Callithrix jacchus: one gene and its partner. The protein of the gene in region 2 purifies or fractionates together with the protein of the main gene of each other region. This does not show direct contact. Links are inferred from orthologs where the notes say so. Each region holds a gene or a part of one and is shown on either strand. Other genes may lie near its edges.

What was found.
Region 1: the proteins of SPDYC (region 2) and CDK1 purify together in Homo sapiens (co-immunoprecipitation; 3 studies listed by BioGRID and IntAct, with this or other methods). This does not show direct contact. The link is inferred for Callithrix jacchus from reciprocal best matches to the Homo sapiens genes SPDYC and CDK1.

Annotation. Positions count from the first base shown.
Region 1 is NC_133513.1:69,673,809-69,683,132, forward strand, and holds the start of CDK1 (cyclin-dependent kinase 1), read right to left. Parts: upstream 5,629-9,324; 5' UTR 5,476-5,628; intron 5,113-5,475; exon of another isoform or gene 5,094-5,112; intron 3,945-5,093; 5' UTR 3,920-3,944; coding exon 3,883-3,919; intron 574-3,882; exon of another isoform or gene 1-573. UniProt on the Homo sapiens protein: Plays a key role in the control of the eukaryotic cell cycle by modulating the centrosome cycle as well as mitotic onset; promotes G2-M transition via association with multiple interphase cyclins.
Region 2 is NC_133511.1:122,243,380-122,252,703, reverse strand, and holds SPDYC (speedy protein C), read right to left. Parts: upstream 5,127-9,324; 5' UTR 4,998-5,126; coding exon 4,856-4,997; intron 4,100-4,855; coding exon 4,041-4,099; intron 3,767-4,040; coding exon 3,681-3,766; intron 3,579-3,680; coding exon 3,407-3,578; intron 3,327-3,406; coding exon 2,916-3,326; 3' UTR 2,820-2,915; downstream 1-2,819. UniProt on the Homo sapiens protein: Promotes progression through the cell cycle via binding and activation of CDK1 and CDK2. Involved in the spindle-assembly checkpoint. Required for recruitment of MAD2L1, BUBR1 and BUB1 to kinetochores.

The DNA of each region.
Region 1 (9,324 bases), on a different chromosome or scaffold from region 2:
ACGTCTCTGTTCGTCAGGAACGTGGCCTACAATACCAGGTCTGAAGATTTACAGCATGAATTTGGTCGTTATGGTCCTATAGTTGATGTGTATGTTCCACTTGATTTCTACACTCACCGTCCAAGAGGATTTGCTTATGTTCAATTTGAGTATGGTCGTGATGCTGAAGATGCTTTACATAATTTGGACAGAAAGTGGATTTGTAAACAGCAGATTGAAATACAGTTTGCTCAGGGGGACTGGAAGACACCAAATCAGATGAAAGTCAAGGAAGGGAGGAATGCGTATAGTTCTTCACGCTATGATGATTATGACAGATACAGACGTTCAAGAAGCCGAAGTCACAAAAGAAGGAGATCAAGAAGTCGGTCTTTTGATTACAACTATAGAAGATCGTATAGTCCTAGAAAGCGTAGACCGACTGGAAGACCACGGCATAGGAGAAGCCATTCAGACAATGATAGATTCAAGCACCGAAATTGATCTTTTTCAAAATCTAAATCCAATTCAAGATCACGGTCCAAGACCCAGCCCCCCCAAAAAATGAAGGCTAAATCACGTTCTAGGTCTGCATCTCACACCAAAACTTAGAGGCACCTCTAAAACAGATTCCAAAACACATTATAAGTCTGGCTCAAGATATGAAAAGGAATCAAGGAAAAAAGAACCACCTAGATCCAAATCTCAGTCAAGATCACAGTCTAGGTCTAGGTCAAAATCTAGATCAAGGTCTTGGACTAGTCCTAAGTCCAGTGGCCACTGATAGTATAAACCATGGTCATGTTTAGGCATGTATCATTTACTCATAGTTTTGTTTACTTAAATTATCAGGAATACAATGTTGCAATGATGCTTAAAAAACCCTTGTTAGTTTTCCCTGTACCAGGCAATGGTTATAATTAAAACCATATGCTGTTGAGAAGCCACTCTTAAGAGTCCAGTATGTTTAATGTTATGGGCGGGAAGCTACCAATTTGTGGTGTCTCTGTACATTTTTTGTAAAGATTCTCATTTTTTATGCTTGAAGTGTTTGGTGAAAAGATGTTAGTTGACCATAATTTGCAATACTGTCTCATTAAAAATAAACTTTCATATTCATATTTGGTGGAACTGTTAACCTAGAAATGTAGCTTGCTAATAAGATAAAATGATACAAAAGTGAAGTAGTAGCCACAGTACAGCACTGACTGCTCAGACACATTTAGGTTCAGGGTGGGCTTTTATGTCTTGTCAAAATGTCTAGGCCCGGCCAGGCGCAGTGGCTCATGCCTGTAATCCCAGCACTTTGGGAGGCCGAGGTAGGTGGGTCATGAGGTCAGGCATTCGAGACCAGCCTGACCAACAGGATGAAATACCCTCTGCTAAAAAGACAGAATTAGCTGGGCGTGGTGGTGCACGCTTGTAATCCCAGCTACTTGGGAGGCTGAGGCAGGGGAATTGCTGGAACCTGGGAGGTGACAGTTGCAGTGAGCCAAGATTGCATCACTGCACTCCAGCCTGGGTGATGGAGTGAGACTCCAACTCAAAAAAAAAAAAGTCTAGGCCCATGATAATTACTTATGATGAAGTGTGGATTAGTTCTTTTGTTAACCCCACTGTCTTGGGGGAATGATGCCAGCTGGGTTAGGTAGTATTTTCAGGGAGATTGAGTTTTTGACTGAAACACAGAGGCTTCACTGCTTTTTTTCTGGTTCCTGTGAAGATTTGGAACATAGAAAACACGAAAACTTATCCTAAAATTTGAGCAGGTCAACAACAGCAAAAATAATTTTAAGGAGAAAGGAATATTCTTATGTAATTATTCTGAAGTTTAAGGAGCATTGTTGACCATAATATTGCTTAGTTTTCTTACTGCTGTTAGAAGGGAGTAAATTGTTTCAAAGTAGCTTCTGTGTGTGTGTGTGTGCACAGTGTAAAAGAACTAAAATTTTTTGATGCTTACAGCACTTGGCCTGTGCATTTGTATCAAAATTTGCCTGCCTCTTTATGAGCGAGGCCTGCTTTTCACACCTTAGTTTATTTAATATGAGGCAAGTTGAAAGATAACACTCATTCTAGGCGATTCTGTGGTACCATGAAATTAAAAATAATTTTGGAAAAAGCATTAGTTTTGAGCAAGAGTCACATCTGAGTTTGTGATTATGAGTGTAGTAGCTGACTAAAAAATGAAGTAATATCCTTACCCATTTCTAATTTCTAGTATTTCTCTGAAAGATTGTTTGGGGGACAAAAGTGACTTGACATGCCCAATTTCATTTCAGAATAAAAAGCTAGCATCTTTAAAAATCAGATTGCTTGCTTACAGATATAAGTAAGAACTATGGAGAAACAATTCCTTTTAGAGAATTACTTTTTTCAATTTTGGTTTTTGGAATCTAGGCTTTGCCTGTAAAGAATAAAATGATGGATTTTAAATACTGCTTGTGGAATGTGTTTAAAGGACTGATTATTTTAGAACCTTTGTATATTTGATAGTATTTCTAATCTTCATTTCTTTACTGTTTGCAGTTAATGTTCATGTTCTGCTATGCAATCATTTATATGCACGTTTCTTTAATTTTTTAGATTTTCCTGGATGTATAAACAACAAAAAGTCTATTTAAAACTGTAGCAGTAGTTTGCAGTTCTAGAAAAGAGGAAAGTTGTGGGGTTAAACTTTGTATTTTCTTTCTTATAGAGGCTTCTAAAAAGGTACTTTTATATGTTCTTTTTAAGAAATATTGTGTACAACCTTTAAAACATCAATGTTTGGATCAAAACAAGACCCAGCTTATTTTCTGCTTGCTGTAAATTAAGCAAACATGCTATAATAAAAACAAAATGAAGGAAAAAAAAAAGGTCTCCTTTTATGCCAAACTGCAATCAACACTAATTCTCTGAAAATTTAAGAAACATACTACAAGGCATTAGACATACTTATCACATATTTGTAATTCAGCAGCAAAATTCATTTAGAATGGGTATGAATTAGGTATTTAAGTGATTAAAAAATATATACACACACACACACATCCAATCTACCACTACACTAACTTGTCATTCCTATTTCACTAAATTCCCTCCAGTATAGCCCCATTGTTTTTTATTATTTCTTCCCAAGTGGAGTCTTTGATCACATTAAAAATATAGTTGGGAATTTTCTTCAGCCAGAACCTATACAAACTGGACTCTATTAGCAAATTATTTTGTTCCCGGAGAATTGAGAATGTCAAAACTCCTGGAAAGAAACTGGGATGTTCTGTTGCGGGACTCAAGGGGACAGGTTAAGGGATATGATTTGTGCCATATATAGAGCTAAACATTCCTTCAAGTATCACAGAAAGGGAATGATTATATACATAAGTTATAGTTTTAGAATAGATTAAACACCTACATATGACAGGTCATTTATACTTAAGGTAACTAAATATCAAAATTAACTTAAGTCAAGACTGACTTAATAGAAGATTAAGTCAATTATTGTAACCAGTCTAGAAAATCTGAATAAAAACATTTATCATCTTAAAAATAACTGAGACTAAAAATATATTATGAAATTAGCATAATGCTGCTGCCCTAACCTCTGTCCCTAAATACATGTACAAGTTATCAACAGTGTCTTCAAAACAAGAGTAATGCTGTAAGTGTTGGGTATCAGCAGAATGTAAGACTATGGGGGTGAGGGGAAGGATCATTAGGGACTCAATAATTTTGATTCTCTTGAAATATGAACAAATTTGTGTTTAAGTTACTATGTAAACAACATATATTAATATACATTGATATTACAAGACATCTTAGTCGTTAAATTTTAACAAATATTTACATGTGTTCATATTACAGAAGTTGGTGGTAGCATTGTTAAATCATTCTAAAAAATGTTATATTACTAAAGCCACTCACCTTCTCCAATTTTCTCTATTTTAGTATAATCTTCCATAGTTAGTCAATAGGTATGGTAGATCCTAAAATGAAGGGAAAAACTGACTTAATTACATGCCACTAACTCGAGTAGTTTTAAGTATTGAGATACTATATATAAAGCATTTTCCACAATGCATACTGCAGTATAGTAAATATTCCATAAATATTAATTACATTCAAATATTTACAAGGGTAAGAACTCCTACAATAACTTTCCATCCTTCTTGACTCCTGAGACATTGGAAACATTTGTATATTCCATCCTAGTATAGTATTTAGCGTCTTCCAATCAAAATAACCCTCAAATTCAGAAATCAATTTGTCTGTTCTTTCCAAACAAAAACCAGAATGTTCCCTTTATTTGACAATTTAAAGTAGTACCAGCATGTACCAAAGTTATACCGAAATTTTTTTTGTTTATACCGAAATATTTCAACAAATTTATACCGCTTTATGATATTCCTAACATTATGCAAAACACGGTTTTTTAAAGATATAGAACTAAAATGTGTTCAGACTGTTCATTAGGAAGATTGTGTTTAAAGCGGCAAAAACGTGTAAGTGTTTACAGTTGCCCACGTGACAATTTTAATCTTTTTCCTTTGCTTGTAGAGGTCACAGAAAAACATGCTCAAGGCTTTCAAGATACTTTTTGCACGAGTAGGAAATACCACTTAAGCACGCTAAAACAAAAGAATGAAAAGTGCAATTCTACAGATAAATTATAATTATAGCCTACGCAATTTCAAGGACCAAGCAGAAACGCTGTATACTTGAATCACAATGAATGGTTAAAAAAAAAAGAGCTGACAATCAGAAGTTCAAGACTTCCTCTTAAGTTTGCCAATGAAACGTCAGAAGTCCAGGCATAATTACTTCGATTTTTCTAACACGCATCCCTGACGATAAAATCATTTATAAATACCACTCTGAATAGATTTTTAAGTTCTATTTCTCATTCATCTTCAAAGAAAAATCAATCCAGAAGGAAGCCGAGGTATATTTCTAAATGAAAACAACAACAACAACAAAAACTGCACTACACTGCTCTTGAGTGTTGAGTGCCTGGGCTGAGTGTTCTTAAAAACTCCAGGTGGGCCGGGGCCGTGGGCAGAGCCAGCTCGAGAAGGCCCACGAGTCCCGGGAGCTGTTTCTCAGGGCGGCCTGGCTTTAGGAACCTGCGCCCGTACCTGGCCCAGGTGCGGTGCCGCTTGCTCACCCCCGAGGCAGGATGGGAGGGCGCGCAGGGGGCGGGTGCAGGAAGGAGCCGGCCACTTCGCAGGCGCTCACCATAGGGGAGCGGATTGTGCTTCAACCTTGACCCGAAAGCCTCCCCAGTAAGTTTCTGAGAGAAGCCGACCTCGAGCCCTGACTGCAGGCAGCCCCAACCGCCACCCCCACAACCCCGGCTGGGCTCCGTCAGCCTCACTCTAAAGCCGGCCCGGTGTGGCTCACATGCCCAGGCCCCGGCCCAGGAGAAGGCCCTGCCTGCCCTCCAGAGACCCAGCCTGGCTCTGCGCAGATCCCTGCTCCCCAAGCCCGGCCTCCTATGAGGACTCCGTTCCTCAATACCCAGCCTCTGAGGCCCCTGGGCTCAGCCTCTAGGAGCGACCCCGACACCAGCCACTCTACCCGGCTTATTATCCCACGGCGGCAGCAGAGGCAACTACCACAGCCACGTCGCTTTCCGCTCAACTTCCAAGAGCCAGCTTTGAAGCGAAGTGCGAGCAGTTTCAAACTCGCCGCGCTAAAGGGTCCCAGATCCACCAATCAGGTAGCCCGTAGACTTTCAAAGCAGCCAATCAGAGCCCAGCTACGCTTGGGCAGGCCTCGTGGGTGGGTAGAGCGCGAAAGAGAGAGGAAAGGGCGGCTGGAGAAAAAGCAGGAGGGCGGGCGCTCTCCAGCCCTGAGAGTGTCGTCCTACTGTTTCTAGTCAGCGGAGCGGGAAGCTACTACTTGCTCCGTTCTTTTTTTTAGTTTTTTTCTCCCAGCATTGCCACAGTTCAAATTTATTACACTCAAAATAGCTCATCACTCAAAGCAAAAAAGGGATATTGTGTTTACATCCAGATTCCATTACTTTAACATCTAATACTTAGGGTAAGCAGTGTATAGTTACGTTTTTCTAAATGCGTGATTTGCGGGCTGGCTCCAAAGAGCACATTTCAGCCACCTTAAGAAGAAAATGGAAAACTCAACAGACCGCCTCAAAAATGTAAAAGAATATTTATTATTTATATCGTTGTGCTTTGTTTCTACTTCGTTTGAATTTTAATTTATTATTTACATTTTTGTTTAAAACATTTGAAATGTTTTAAATTTTAAAATATTTTCACATCAGAATTTTAAATATATAGAGAGACATATATTTAGAGACTGGGTCTCATCACGTTGCTTATTCTGGCCCCCAACTCCTGGACTCAAGCAATTGGCCTCAGCCTCCGGAGTAGCTGCGAGTACAGGCACTCGGCACAACGTCCGGTTTCACGCCCGGCTTAAATATTATGAAAACACAAAAATTCACAATTGTATGAGGGAAGAAAAACAGACTTAAATTATGCTTTAAATAATACAGTGTCAAAAACGCTGTCTTCAATGCCCTCCACAATATCCTTAAGAGCGATTTCTGCACTTACTGCACTTCAATATCTTTTTCCCTCCCTCTTTTCCTTCCTTCCTTCCTTCCCTTCCTTTCTCCCTCCCTCCCTCTCTCTTTTTTCTTTTCTTTCTTTCTCTCTCTCTTTCTCTCTGTTTCTCCCTTTCTTTCTTCTGCTTGTTTGCAGAGACAGAGTCTCCTCATGTTACCCTAGCTGGCCTCCAATCCTAGGCTCCATGGATCCTCCTGCCTTGGCCTCTGAATGTGCTGGGATTACAAGTGTAATCACCAGCTCAACCTAAACACCATTCTGACGTCTTTTTAAAATAAGTAAATAAAACAGAGCTAGACGTAATGAAAGTCTCCATTTTAAGGATTTTTAGTTGCATTGACCCTAATAGGACATAGAACAAAGACTGATTGCCACACCCACTACAAATATGTATTAGAAGACCCAAATTAGGATATGGAATGGAACTTCCTTATCCTTGTGATATAGACTATATCACATGCATTTAAGTGTTTAATACCTTTTTACACAATGAGCTGCATCTATCGTCTGGTGCTATACTTTGCATCTGGCTCAATCTTGAAAATTTTTGCTCCTAGGTGACAGAGGCAGAGCATTTGGGATTCATGGTGGAGGTAGGAATTTAAGAACTCCTGCTGGAGCCTAATAACTTTTAAAACTTTTAAAATAAAAAGTTCATTGTTTAAATGAAAACTGACTGCCCCAGAGAAGTGCTTTCAGGATCCAGGCTGTTCCGTGCAGTTTATGGTACTGGTTTTATGAATTTTAATATGTCTTTCTCTTTGAGAGGCTTAAGGAATTCAATTTCTGTATCATCTAAAAATGGCAACTAATTTATTATATCCATTTTACCTTCAACATAAAGAAGACCACAAGCTTCCACAACTGTGATGCTAGGTGTACCAATTAACTCAATCATCTTTCTATATAAAGTTTCAGAGGTTCTTGTAAATCCATGTTATCATCTTGGCAAATACAGTTTATTACCCTTTGGACCAACTTCTATATAGTGTCTCTAAAGTGCAACACTGTGCTTCATAGACACAAAAATGAATAAGATCCAATTACTGCTGGAGGTGTTGAGAGTAGGGGAACAGGATGATTACTGAGGGATTCTCTTCTGGTATTCACCTTGGAACTTACGTTATAGGGCGATGTGAGAACACAGAGGAGGAAATTGCTAATGCAAACGGAAGGGACATTTGAGCAAATGCTGGGGAAACAGAGGAAATTGTATGAGTAAAGCACAGAGGCCAGAAAGTCAACCCAAGTAATTTAGGGTGCCCTCTGTGGTAAAATGCAGGGAGTGCTGCATCCTGTGACGTTAAAGTCAGAAAAGGGAGTTTGGAGTCAGAATCCTGAGGAGCCCTGAACACTGTTCCAAAGGATCTGAGCAGGAAAGGGACACGCAGCCTTAGAACCATATCTTAGTAAAACTACCCTAGAGGTGGTATGAAAAAAAAAAATCTGAAGAGGAGAGCAAGGGCAGGCATGTGCTCTGAAAATTGTCATATTTATATTTTGGTAAATGCATTTTGGAAGGAAAAGAATGGTATTGCATGTAAGTCTTATTTATTTATTTTTATATTTAAGTATTGCTATGTTGAATGTTTGTTCTCCCCCGACTCCCCAAGTTCATATATTGAGGTTCTCACCCAGCTGGGGTGATGTTTGGAGACGGGGCTTTGGGAGGTAATTAGGTTTAGATGAGGTCATGAAGGTGAAGCTCTCATGATGGGTTTAGGGCTCTCATTAAGAAGAAAAGCCCAACAGCTTGGTAACTCTCACTCTCTGCCATGTGACATTAGAATTCCATCTGTGAGGAAGAGAGCCTGCATCAGAATCTGATGTTGCCCGCCCTCTGAACTTGCACACTGAGCCTCCAGAACTCAGGGAAAATAAAATTTTGTTGTTTAAGCCACCTAGTCTATGGCATTTTGTTGTGGCAGCCCAGGTCAAGACAAGTGGTTTTTTTAGATAAGAAATATTTGCGAACATTTGCTTAAAAATACACCTTAGGAGGGCACAGTGGCTCATGCGTGTAATCCCATCACTTTGGGAGGCCTAGGCGGGTGGATCACAATGTCAGGAGTTCAAGACCAGCCTGGCCAAGAGACCAGCCTGGCCAATAGGGTGAAACCCCATCTCTACTAAAAATACAAAAATTAGCCAGGTGTGGTGGCAGGCACCTGTAACCCCACCTACTCCAAAGACTGAGGCAGGCGAATTGCTTGAACCTGGGAGGTGGAGATTGTAGTGAGCCAAGGCTGCACCATTGCCTGGGTGACACAGCAAGACTCCAACTCAAAAATAAAGAAAAGGAAAAAGAAAATACACCTTGGAAAGGAGGTGGAAGAAACTAATAAAAATATGCCTCTGTGGAACACAAGAGTGACCTGGCAGAGGTGAGAAAGGAGAGTTTTGTATCTTTCAAATGTTGAGCCATGTGAATGTACTACCCCAGCCCCAAAATAAATGAATGAATGAATGAATGAATGAATCAGTCTTGCCAAGGCCTCCACTGCTACTGAATAAAAATTGTAAAAATTGGCCCAGCACAGTGGTTCACACCTGTAATCCCAGCAATTTGGGAGGCCAAGATGGAGGATCCCTTGAGACTAAGAGTTTGAGACCAGCCAGGGCAACATAGTAAGACCCTGTCTCTATACAGACAAATATATTAAAAGAAAGAAAAATGTAAAAGTTTCTGCAAAATATATCCAAAAGAAGAAGATTGATCTTTCTTCATGTTAATTCAGAAAGAAAAGTGATAGATTATGCAAGATATATAGAT
Region 2 (9,324 bases):
ACACTGCTGTAGCAAGAAATGCATGAATACAAAAAACCTCTTCACCAGCCTGACCAAAACAGTGAAATCCTGTTCTCTACTAAAACGACAAAAAATAGTCGGGCGTGGCAGCACGCACTTGTAGTCCCAGCTACTCAGGAGGCTGAGGCAGGAGAATTGCTGGAACCCAGGAGGTGGAGGTTGCAGTGAGCTAAGATTGCACCACTGCATTCCAGCATGGGCAACAGAGTGAAACTCCGTATCAAAACAAAACAAAACAAAAATTAGCCAAGCATGGTGGCAGGTGCCTGTAATCCCAGCTACTTGGGAGGCTGAGGCAGGACAATCGCATGAACCCTGAAGGTGGAGGACACAGTAAGCCATGATCATGCCACTGCGCTCCAGCCTGGGCAACAAAGCAAGACTCTGTCTCAAAAAAAAGGGGAAAAAAATGGCTGGGTGTGGTGGCTCACACCTGTAATCCGAGCACTTTGGGAGGCTGAGGCAGGCAGATCACCTGAGGTCAGGAGTTTGAGACCAGCCTGGCCAATATGGCAAAACCCTGTCTCTACTAAAAAGACAAAAATGAGCTGGGCATGGTGCTGCAAGCCTGTAATCCAAGCTCCTCGGGAGGCTGAGGCTGGAGAATTGCTTGAGCCGGGGAGGTGGAAGTTGCAGTGAGCTAAGATTTCGCCATTGCATTCCATCCTGGGTGATAGAGCAAGACTCCATCTCAAAAAAAAAAAAAAAAGAGAATCTTCTTCAAAATACATTCATAAGTGCACCACAAGATGCAAGGAGTTCTGGTATTTAATAAAAACTGGGTGGGAAATATATACATATCTGGTATGGTGTCTTTTTCTCACAAAATACATTTTCCACACCAATTTTCCAATACCAATGGGGTGTTGAACAATTCAGTTCCATCGTGACACTAACTCCTGGCATTAGCACAGACCCCAGAGGTTAAGGCTTCAGTACCCCAAGGCTAACCCCACTTCAAATACCAGCCAAAAATGGGGTGCCCAGGCAACTGACACTTCTCTGGCAAACTACAAATTAAGGTTCCCCCAACTCCTCCTCAGGTTTGATAATGCAGTAGATGACTACAGAACTTTGAACAGCACCTCACTTCCTAGGGTACTACCTGTTTAATACGAAGGAAACAATTCCGAAACAGCCAGCTGGAAGAGTTGCACAGGGCAAGGCACTGCGGGTGTGGTGCACAGAGCTTCTGTGCCCTCCCCACCCTCCCGGCACATCCACCTGTTTCTTTAACCCAATCTCTAGTCTCCCAGGCTGCATCATCTCACCTCGTTAGCATAAACTCAGGTGTGGTCTTGTTAGGATTAATGGAAATGTGGGGGTTGCTGTCAAGAAAAGACAATTCTATCACTTAGAAAATTACAAGGGTTTCAGGAGCTCTGTCAGGAACCAAATACATGTATGTGTGTCTTGAGACAGGCTCTCACTCTGTCGCCCATGCTGGAGTACACAGGTGTAATCATAGCTCACTGTAGCCTCCAACTCCTGGACTCAAGTGATCCTCCCACCCCAGCCTCCCAAGTAGCTGGGACTACAGGCATGCGCCAACACACTCAGCTAATTTTTAAATTCTTTTTTGTTGAGATGAGGTCTCATTATGTTGGCTGAGGCGGGCAGATCCCGAGGTCAAAAGATCGAGACCATCCTGGCCAACATGGTGAAACCCCGTCTCTACTACAAATACAAAAAAATTAGCTGGGCATGGTGGCACGTGCCTGTAGTCCCAGCTACTCGGGAGGCTGAGGCAGGAGAATTGCTTGAACCGGGGAGGCGGAGGTTGCAGTGAGCCGGGATTGTGCCACTGCACTCCAGTCTGGCGCCTAGCAACAGAGTAAAACTGTATCCAAAAAAAAAAAGAAATTAATCCTTTTGAGTTCCCATGTCTCTTGGGAGGAGGGGGTTGTATTATAATTACAATATTATATTTGATTGCAGCTCAGGGAAGGGATCAAGTCTGATGCCTACGTAAACCTGGTCCTAAAGGCATTTCTAGACTGAATAAAGAGCTGTTTTCCATTCAACTTTTGTTTCCCAATACGTTCGTGGCCCTCTCTTATTTTCTTTGAGAGAGTCTCACCCTGTCATCCAGGCTGGAGGGCAGTGGCACAGTCTCGACTCATTGCAACCTCTGCCTCCCTGGTTCAAGCCATTCTCCCACCTCGGCCTCCAAGTAGCTGGGATCACAGGTGTGTGCCACCATGCCTGGTTAATTTTGGTATCTTTAGTAGAGACAGGGTTTTGCCACGTTGGCCAGGCTAGTTTTGACCTCAAATGATCCACCTGCCTCAGCCTCCCAAAGTGCTAGGATTACAGGCATGAGCCACCACACCCAGCTCCCTGGTCCTCTTCTAAGGCCTGAGGATACCTCATATCATTTAATCCCATCAACGCTGCGTAGATCTCATTATCCATAGGCATGGATATTACAGAGAGGAAAACTGAGGCTCAGGATAACTGAAGGGGCCAAGCTGTCACTACACACTTCTGAAAAAAGAAAAAAGGAAGGGGCAAGCTGTGACACAGCCTGTGCTCATATGTTAAAACCCTGGTAGACTCCCCCTCCCCACCCCGACCAGAGGTCAAGGATCCAGGCCAGGACCTAAGCACAGCTGGTGTCTTGTGGACATGAATTTATTAGAGGGGACCAGGACCAGCATGGGTAAAGCTGCAGGCTGGGAGGAAGGGGCAGGGGTGGGAGCACGGCTGATGGCGTGTGGGTCAGTGGGCCAGCAGGCGTGACATTCTTCACCCTACAGAGCTTCAGTGCCCAGGGCGTGGCAGAAGCTTTGGGAAAACTGGGGAGAGGAGAGAGTGAGACTCAGAGGGGAAACCCGCCAAGCTCACACAGGAGGGGCAGCAGCACTTCGATCCCAGGCCCATGGCCCTCCCTCTCATCCTGTTGGTTCTCCCTCCTGCCTCCCAAGCTCCCACCCCAGATCGAAGCTCCTGTCCTGCCCTATCCTGTACTCACTTCGGAGGCAGTAGGTGTCAGGTTCCAGTTGAATCTGGGGAGGTAAGATGAGGAGAAAGTCCCCACCCCAGGTGTTTTTGAACGCTGAGAGTGAATTTTGGGAGGGAAGGCGATGACACTCCGAGGTCAGAGAAGAGCACTTGAGTGACACAGGCTTAAGTGGGTGGCAGCCGGGGTGCTGGGGCAAGCCACAGGGGGAACAGTGGGGTGGTGAGAGGCCAGGGCCCCGGGGAAGGCGGAAAGGGACCTGTGGACAGACCCTCTGAACCCCGCCATGGTGGGGGCGCCGGTCCCGAGTCCAAGCCCAGTGAAATGGCTCCTTTGCCATGACCTGGGAGGAGCATAGTGGACAGTAAGTGGGGTGGGAACCACCAGCCTTTCCCACACCCCAGGCTGCCCCCCCAGCCTCACCTCCTCACAGCACTGGCGGCTCACGACAGCCCGGAAACCCATCCGTGCCCAGAGCTTATCCCTCTGCTGTAGGAACTTCCCCACTCGTAAACACCAATCTCTTCCCAGGGCCCATGGAAAAATCTGACATTTGGGCCCCTCCAGGTCCTCCTCCATGTCATTTGCAAGGTACCTAGCCACAGAAGCACGGGGTCAAGGAGCAGAGGCCACAGCATCACCCCGCCCCATCAGACACCTCCAGCAAACGCCTCCACTCCCTGTCCCCACCACTCACAGGGCCAAGAACAGGCTGCTGTGGGTGTACTCGCTGAGCTTCAGGCGGGCGCGCTGGAAGTAGACCAGCACCATGGCCAGGAGATACTGCAGAGACAGATGGGGAGGCGGGGGATTAGTTATCCTCTGAGGAGAAGGGGCTTGCATCCAGGTTCATTTGTAACCAAGGAGGTTTTGCTGCAGGGAAAGAAAGTCGGGAAAGCAGTGGGGAGGGGTGTGTGAAGATGAGGGGCAAGGGTGAAACGTGAGCAGCTCTCCCTACCTGACCAGGGCACTCAATAAAGTAGCCACATTCAATTCCCACCAACTCAACCTGACCCTCGGGCGACCCCCAGCCTCCAGCCCCACTGTGCTCCCTCACCTTATCTGAAATCCGGAAGCAGGGGTCTTTGGAGAGGAATTCCTGGACAAAACTGTCCTCTGAAGGTAGAGAAGACGGGACGCAGGTTACCACAGCCTCCGTGGAGAAGAGTGGCATCGGAAGCTGCAAAGCTCAAGCCACCACTCAGCCCTTTTTTTTGGAGACGGAGTTTTGCTCTTGTCCAGGCTGGAGTGCAATAGCACAATCTTGGCTCATTGCAACTTCCACCTCCCTGGTTCAAGCAATTCTCCTGCCTTAGCCTCCCAAGTAGCTGGGATGACAGGCATGTGCCACCATGTCTGGCTAATTTTATAGTTTTAGTAGAGACAGGGTCTCTCCATGTTGGTCAGGCTGGTCTTGAACTTCCAACCTCAGGTGATCCACTCACCTCAGCCTTCCAGAGTGTTGGGATTACAGGTGTGAGCCACTGTGCCTGCCTTCTTTTTTTCTCCCTCTTTTTCTGTTTCCCCCCCCCCCCCCCGTCTCTCTCTCTTTCTTTCTCTGTCTCTTTCTTTCTTAATATAAATAGAGATGGGGTCTCACTATGTTGATCAGGCTGGTCTTCATCTCCTGGCCTCAACTGATCCTCCCATCTCAGCCTCTCAAAGTGTTGGGATTACAGATGTGAGTCATGGCACCTGGCGCTGAACCCAGTTTCTGAGAGGACCCCCTACCCCCGACCTACCTAAGCTGGGTCACCTCAGAGGGAGAGGGCAGAGGCCTCAGATGGCTGTACAGGCAGATGAGACCCCATACTTCACATCTGCCTTCACACTTGGTCTCACAACCCTCCCATGCTAGCCCCACAAACTCACCCAGAAGGTTGAGGAAGGCCTGGAGCTCTTCGTGCTGGCGAAAACTGAGGAACCCATTGCCCCCACCTTGCTGGCTGCAGCCCTCCAGCTCTACCTGGGTCATAACTACAGCGGAAGTGGTGGGGTCTTGGGAGTCATCCATCTCATAGGAGATGGAGATGGAGCAGGGTGACCTGTAGAGAAAGGAGGCTCAGGGTTTACCATGTATCCCCGTGACTCCCACGAATCAAAAGGGTGGTGACAAGGGCCAGGACGGTGGAGGGGTGGGTGTGGAGACTTGGGGGCTCAGAATATAAGGCAGCCAGGTTGCAACAGGAGTGTGGAGGCCAGAAAAGCAGCAAAGAGTTGTTGTAGGCTGCAGCACTCCTGCCCTCCTCCTGGCACCCCAGGACAGGCAGAGTAGCAGCAGCAACAAGCACTGCTGAGGGCTTCCTAAGTGTCTGGAGCTGTGCTTAAGGGCTTTATCTTATTTCATCCTGGTGAGGAGGTATGTTCAACACAGACCCATTTTCAAACAAGGAAACTGAAGGCTGAGGCCTCACAGCCAGTTAAAAGTGAAGCCCTTGGCCTCCAAAACCCAAAGAGGTTTTGTTTGTTTGTTTGTTGAGACAGTCTCTCTCTGTAGCCCAGGCTGAAGTGCAGAGGCACAATCTTGGCTCACTGCAACCTCCTCCTCCCCAGTTCAAGCCATTCTCCACCCTCAGCCTCCAGAGTAGCTGGGATTACAGCCTTGCCACCATGCCCGGCTAATTTTTTTAATTTTTGGTAGAGACAGGGTTTCACTGTGTTGGCCAGGCTGGGCTCGCACTCCTCACCTCAGGTGATCCGCGCGCCTCGACCTCCCAAAGTGCTGGGATTACAGGCATGAGCCACTGTGTTAACTGCTTCTTTTTCAGGCCCCAACTCACAACCACCCCGACCCCTCACCAAAGCAGAATTGAAAGGGCCACTGATCCCTTACACCGAGGGGAAACTGAGGTCCACAGGGAGGAACGAAATTAGAGAAATACCTGGATTTAGAGCAAGTTGAGATGGGGCCACTTCAAACATTTCATGCTCCTGTCCTAAACCCACCCTCAGCCCCGAGAAAAGAGATGCCAACCACCGGGCTGAGAAGAAAGTGCGGTCGACCACCCCAGGGCCAATTTGGGCCTCTTCATGTAGATGCCCATAAGCAGAAGCAGCCCAGCCTCCTCCTGCAGAGAGCCTTACCCGGCCTCAGGAATTGCCCACAGCATAAAACCCAGGCCACCCAACCAGTGCACTTATATACCCTGAGGGCTGCCCGCCCAACGCAGCCCGTCCACCAATCAGGGCCTCCCTGGGGGCGTGGTTTGGCCTACACCGCCCGCCTCTCTGCCTGTGAACCCAGTCAGCACCCAGCTGCGGCTCCCCAGGGTGAAAGCCTCTCCGAAGTTTCATCAGCTACAAGAGGGGTGAAGGCAGGCCAGCTGGACCCCAGGGCCTGAGATACCATAGGAAGGGCAGGGAGCTAGGATCCGCGTTACCCTCTTGACAAATGCAGCGCCAAGGGGCTGAGCCGAGAAATGAGGCCTGGGCTACCAGGGCCAGGTGGGTGAGTTTTGATTCACTGACTGTGCCTTGCTGGGGCAGGGTCTCTGGCTCTCTGTGGGTGTCTCTGAATTTCACTGAGGCTCCCTGGGTCTCTCTTTTCTTTCTTTTGTCTTTTATTTTATTTTTCCCCTGGTAACACAGAACAAGCTGCCTGGGTCTCACACTTGATCTCAGCCGAAAGGCCGGGAAGCAATAGGCTGCCCGGGTCTCCATGGGCCTCTGAGTCTTTCCGTTTCTTGTTGCCTCTGGTGTCTGGATGTCTCTGGATCCTTTGATCTCTCTGATCTCTGGGTCTCTGGTCTGTCTGTGTTTCATGGTCTCCCCCGGCCACCTCCCAGGCTCCCTGAGGCCAGCAAGGCCTTTCTAGACCAGCTGGTCTGCATCAGGCCATCCTGTTTGTGTGTGTGCATGCATGTGAAGATGGCCTCCCTTAGAAAGGAAGCAGTGAGCGGGGCAGCCTCCATAGCCAGCTCCCGAAACACCTACTGAGGAGGCTGTGTTGGAGTCAGCTCGCGTGTTCCGCACAGTGAGCCCATGAAATTGATGAGAATGATAAGATGCCTCATTTTATCAACGAACAAACAAATAACAGCAGAGTCTGGGTTGCTCACTGAGAGGCTGAGTAACTTCCTGCCAGCCTGGCCGCTGAGCACACGTGCCAGGTGGCCTGGCTTTGTGGTCCATGGCTGTTCCTGAACACAGCCTGCACAGAGAAGGTGTCCCATGAAACTGAATGAATCCCCTCGACCAGCTGTGGTTTCAACCTTTCTCCTCTCCCTGCAATAACTAAGGTTCGAGATCAGGAAGGGGTAGCAAAAGGACGTCTGGGAGTGGGCTAGTCACTCTAGCCTTGGGAGGGTGTCCAGGCTCATTTCCCTAAGTGCCAGCCTTGGAGATGTGACACTGATATCCCACACTGGGAACAATACTTTTTTTAAATTTTGTTTTTTTGAGACAGAATCTTACTTTGTTGCCCAGGCTGGAATGCAGTGGCACAATCTCAGGTCACTGCAACCTCCGCCTCCCAGGTTCAAGCAAGTCTCCTGCCTCAGCCTCCCAGCTGGGACTACAGGTGTGTGCCACCATGCCTGGCTAATTTTTTTTTTGAGATGGAGTCGCTGAGCTTGAGTGCAGTGGTGCGATCTCAGCTGACTGCAATCTCTGCCTCCCAGGTTCCAGCAATTCTGTCTTAGCCTCCCGAGTAGCTGAGCTTACAAGCACCCACCATCATGCCCGGGTAATTTTCCTATTTTTAGTAGAGATGGGTTTTCACCATGTTGGCCAGGCTAGTCTCAAAGTCCTCACCTCAGGTAATCCACCTGCCTGGGCCTCCCAAAGTGCTGGGATTACAGGCGTGTACCACCACGCCTTGCTAATCTTTGTTTTGTTTTTGAGACAGAGTCTTGCTCTGTCACCCAGGCTGGAGTGATCTCAGCTCATTGCAACCTCTACCTCCCGGGTTCAAGCAATCTTCCCACCTCAGCCTCCCTAGTAGCTGGAATTATAGGCAAGCGCCACCATACCTGGCTAATTTTTATATTTTTAGTAGAGACAGGGTATCACCATATTGGCCAGGCTGATCTTGAACTCCTGACCTCAAGTGATCTGTCCACCTCAGCCTCCCAAAGTGCTGGGGTCACAGGCATAAGCCACAGCGCCTGGCCCACAGTTTGGCTTTGACTCTGCTCTACGTCTTCTGCATCCCAGAACCCTGGCAAGAGAGGACTCTGGGATACAGAAGACATGAAGCAGAGCATCAAAGCACCTCTTTGATGCTTTCAAAGCTCCAGTGTGGTTCTGCCACTGTGCTTTTCCATCTGCCCTGAGCCTGGTGTCCCCCTGGTAGGGGCAGCCTCTCTTGCCAGGGTTCTGGGACACAGAAGACATGGGCAGAGTCAAAGCCAAACTGTGAAATGCATGTAATATGAGGAAGAAATAAACTTTTGAAAACCACTGAGACTGGAGGGTTATTATTGTATTGGATTTCTATTTGTTGCTGTACCAAATTACCACAAACCTAGTGGATTAAAACAACACCTGTTTATTACTTTACTGTTCTAGAGGTCAGACGTCCAAAACAGGTATCACTAGGTTCAAATCCAGGTGGCAGCAGGGTTCCTCGCTCTGGGAGTTCTAGGAGGCGTTTTCTTGCCTTTTCCAGCTTCCAATGGCTGCTGGCATTCCCAGTTTATGACTTCCTTTTTCCCTCTCCAAACACAGTGACTCGGCATCTTCAAATCTCTCTGACTCTGACCCCGCTTCTGCCTCTCTCTCTGCCTCTCTCTCTCTCTCTCTCTCTTTCTCTCTCTCTCTCTCTCTCTCTCTCTTAAGAGGGAGTCTTGCTCTTGTTGCCCAGGATAGAGTGCAATGCAACAATCTCGGCTCACTGCAACCTCTGCCTCCTGGGTTCAAGAGATTGTCCTGCCTCTGTCTCCTGAGTAGCTGGATTACAGGCACCTGCCTCCACACCCCACTAATATTTGTATTTTTAGTAGAGACGAGGTTTCACCATGTTGGCCAGGATTGTCTCAAACTCTTGACCTCATGATCCACCCACCTCAGCCTCCCAAAGTACTGGGATTACAGGTGTGAGCCACTGCTTTTGGCCTCTCTCTTTCACTTTTAAGAATTCTCTTGCCGGGCACAGTGGCTCAAGCCTGTAATCCCAGCACTTTGGGAGGCTGAGGCGGGTGGATCACGAGGTCAAGAGATCGAGACCATCCTGGTCAACAAGGTGAAACCCCGTCTCTACTAAAAATACAAAAATTAGCTGGGCATGGTGGTGCATGCCTGTAGTCCCAACTACTCAGGAGGCTGAGGCAGGAGAATTCCTTGAACCCAGGAGGCGGAGGTTGCAGTGAGCTGAGATTGTGCCATTGCACTCCAGTCTGGGT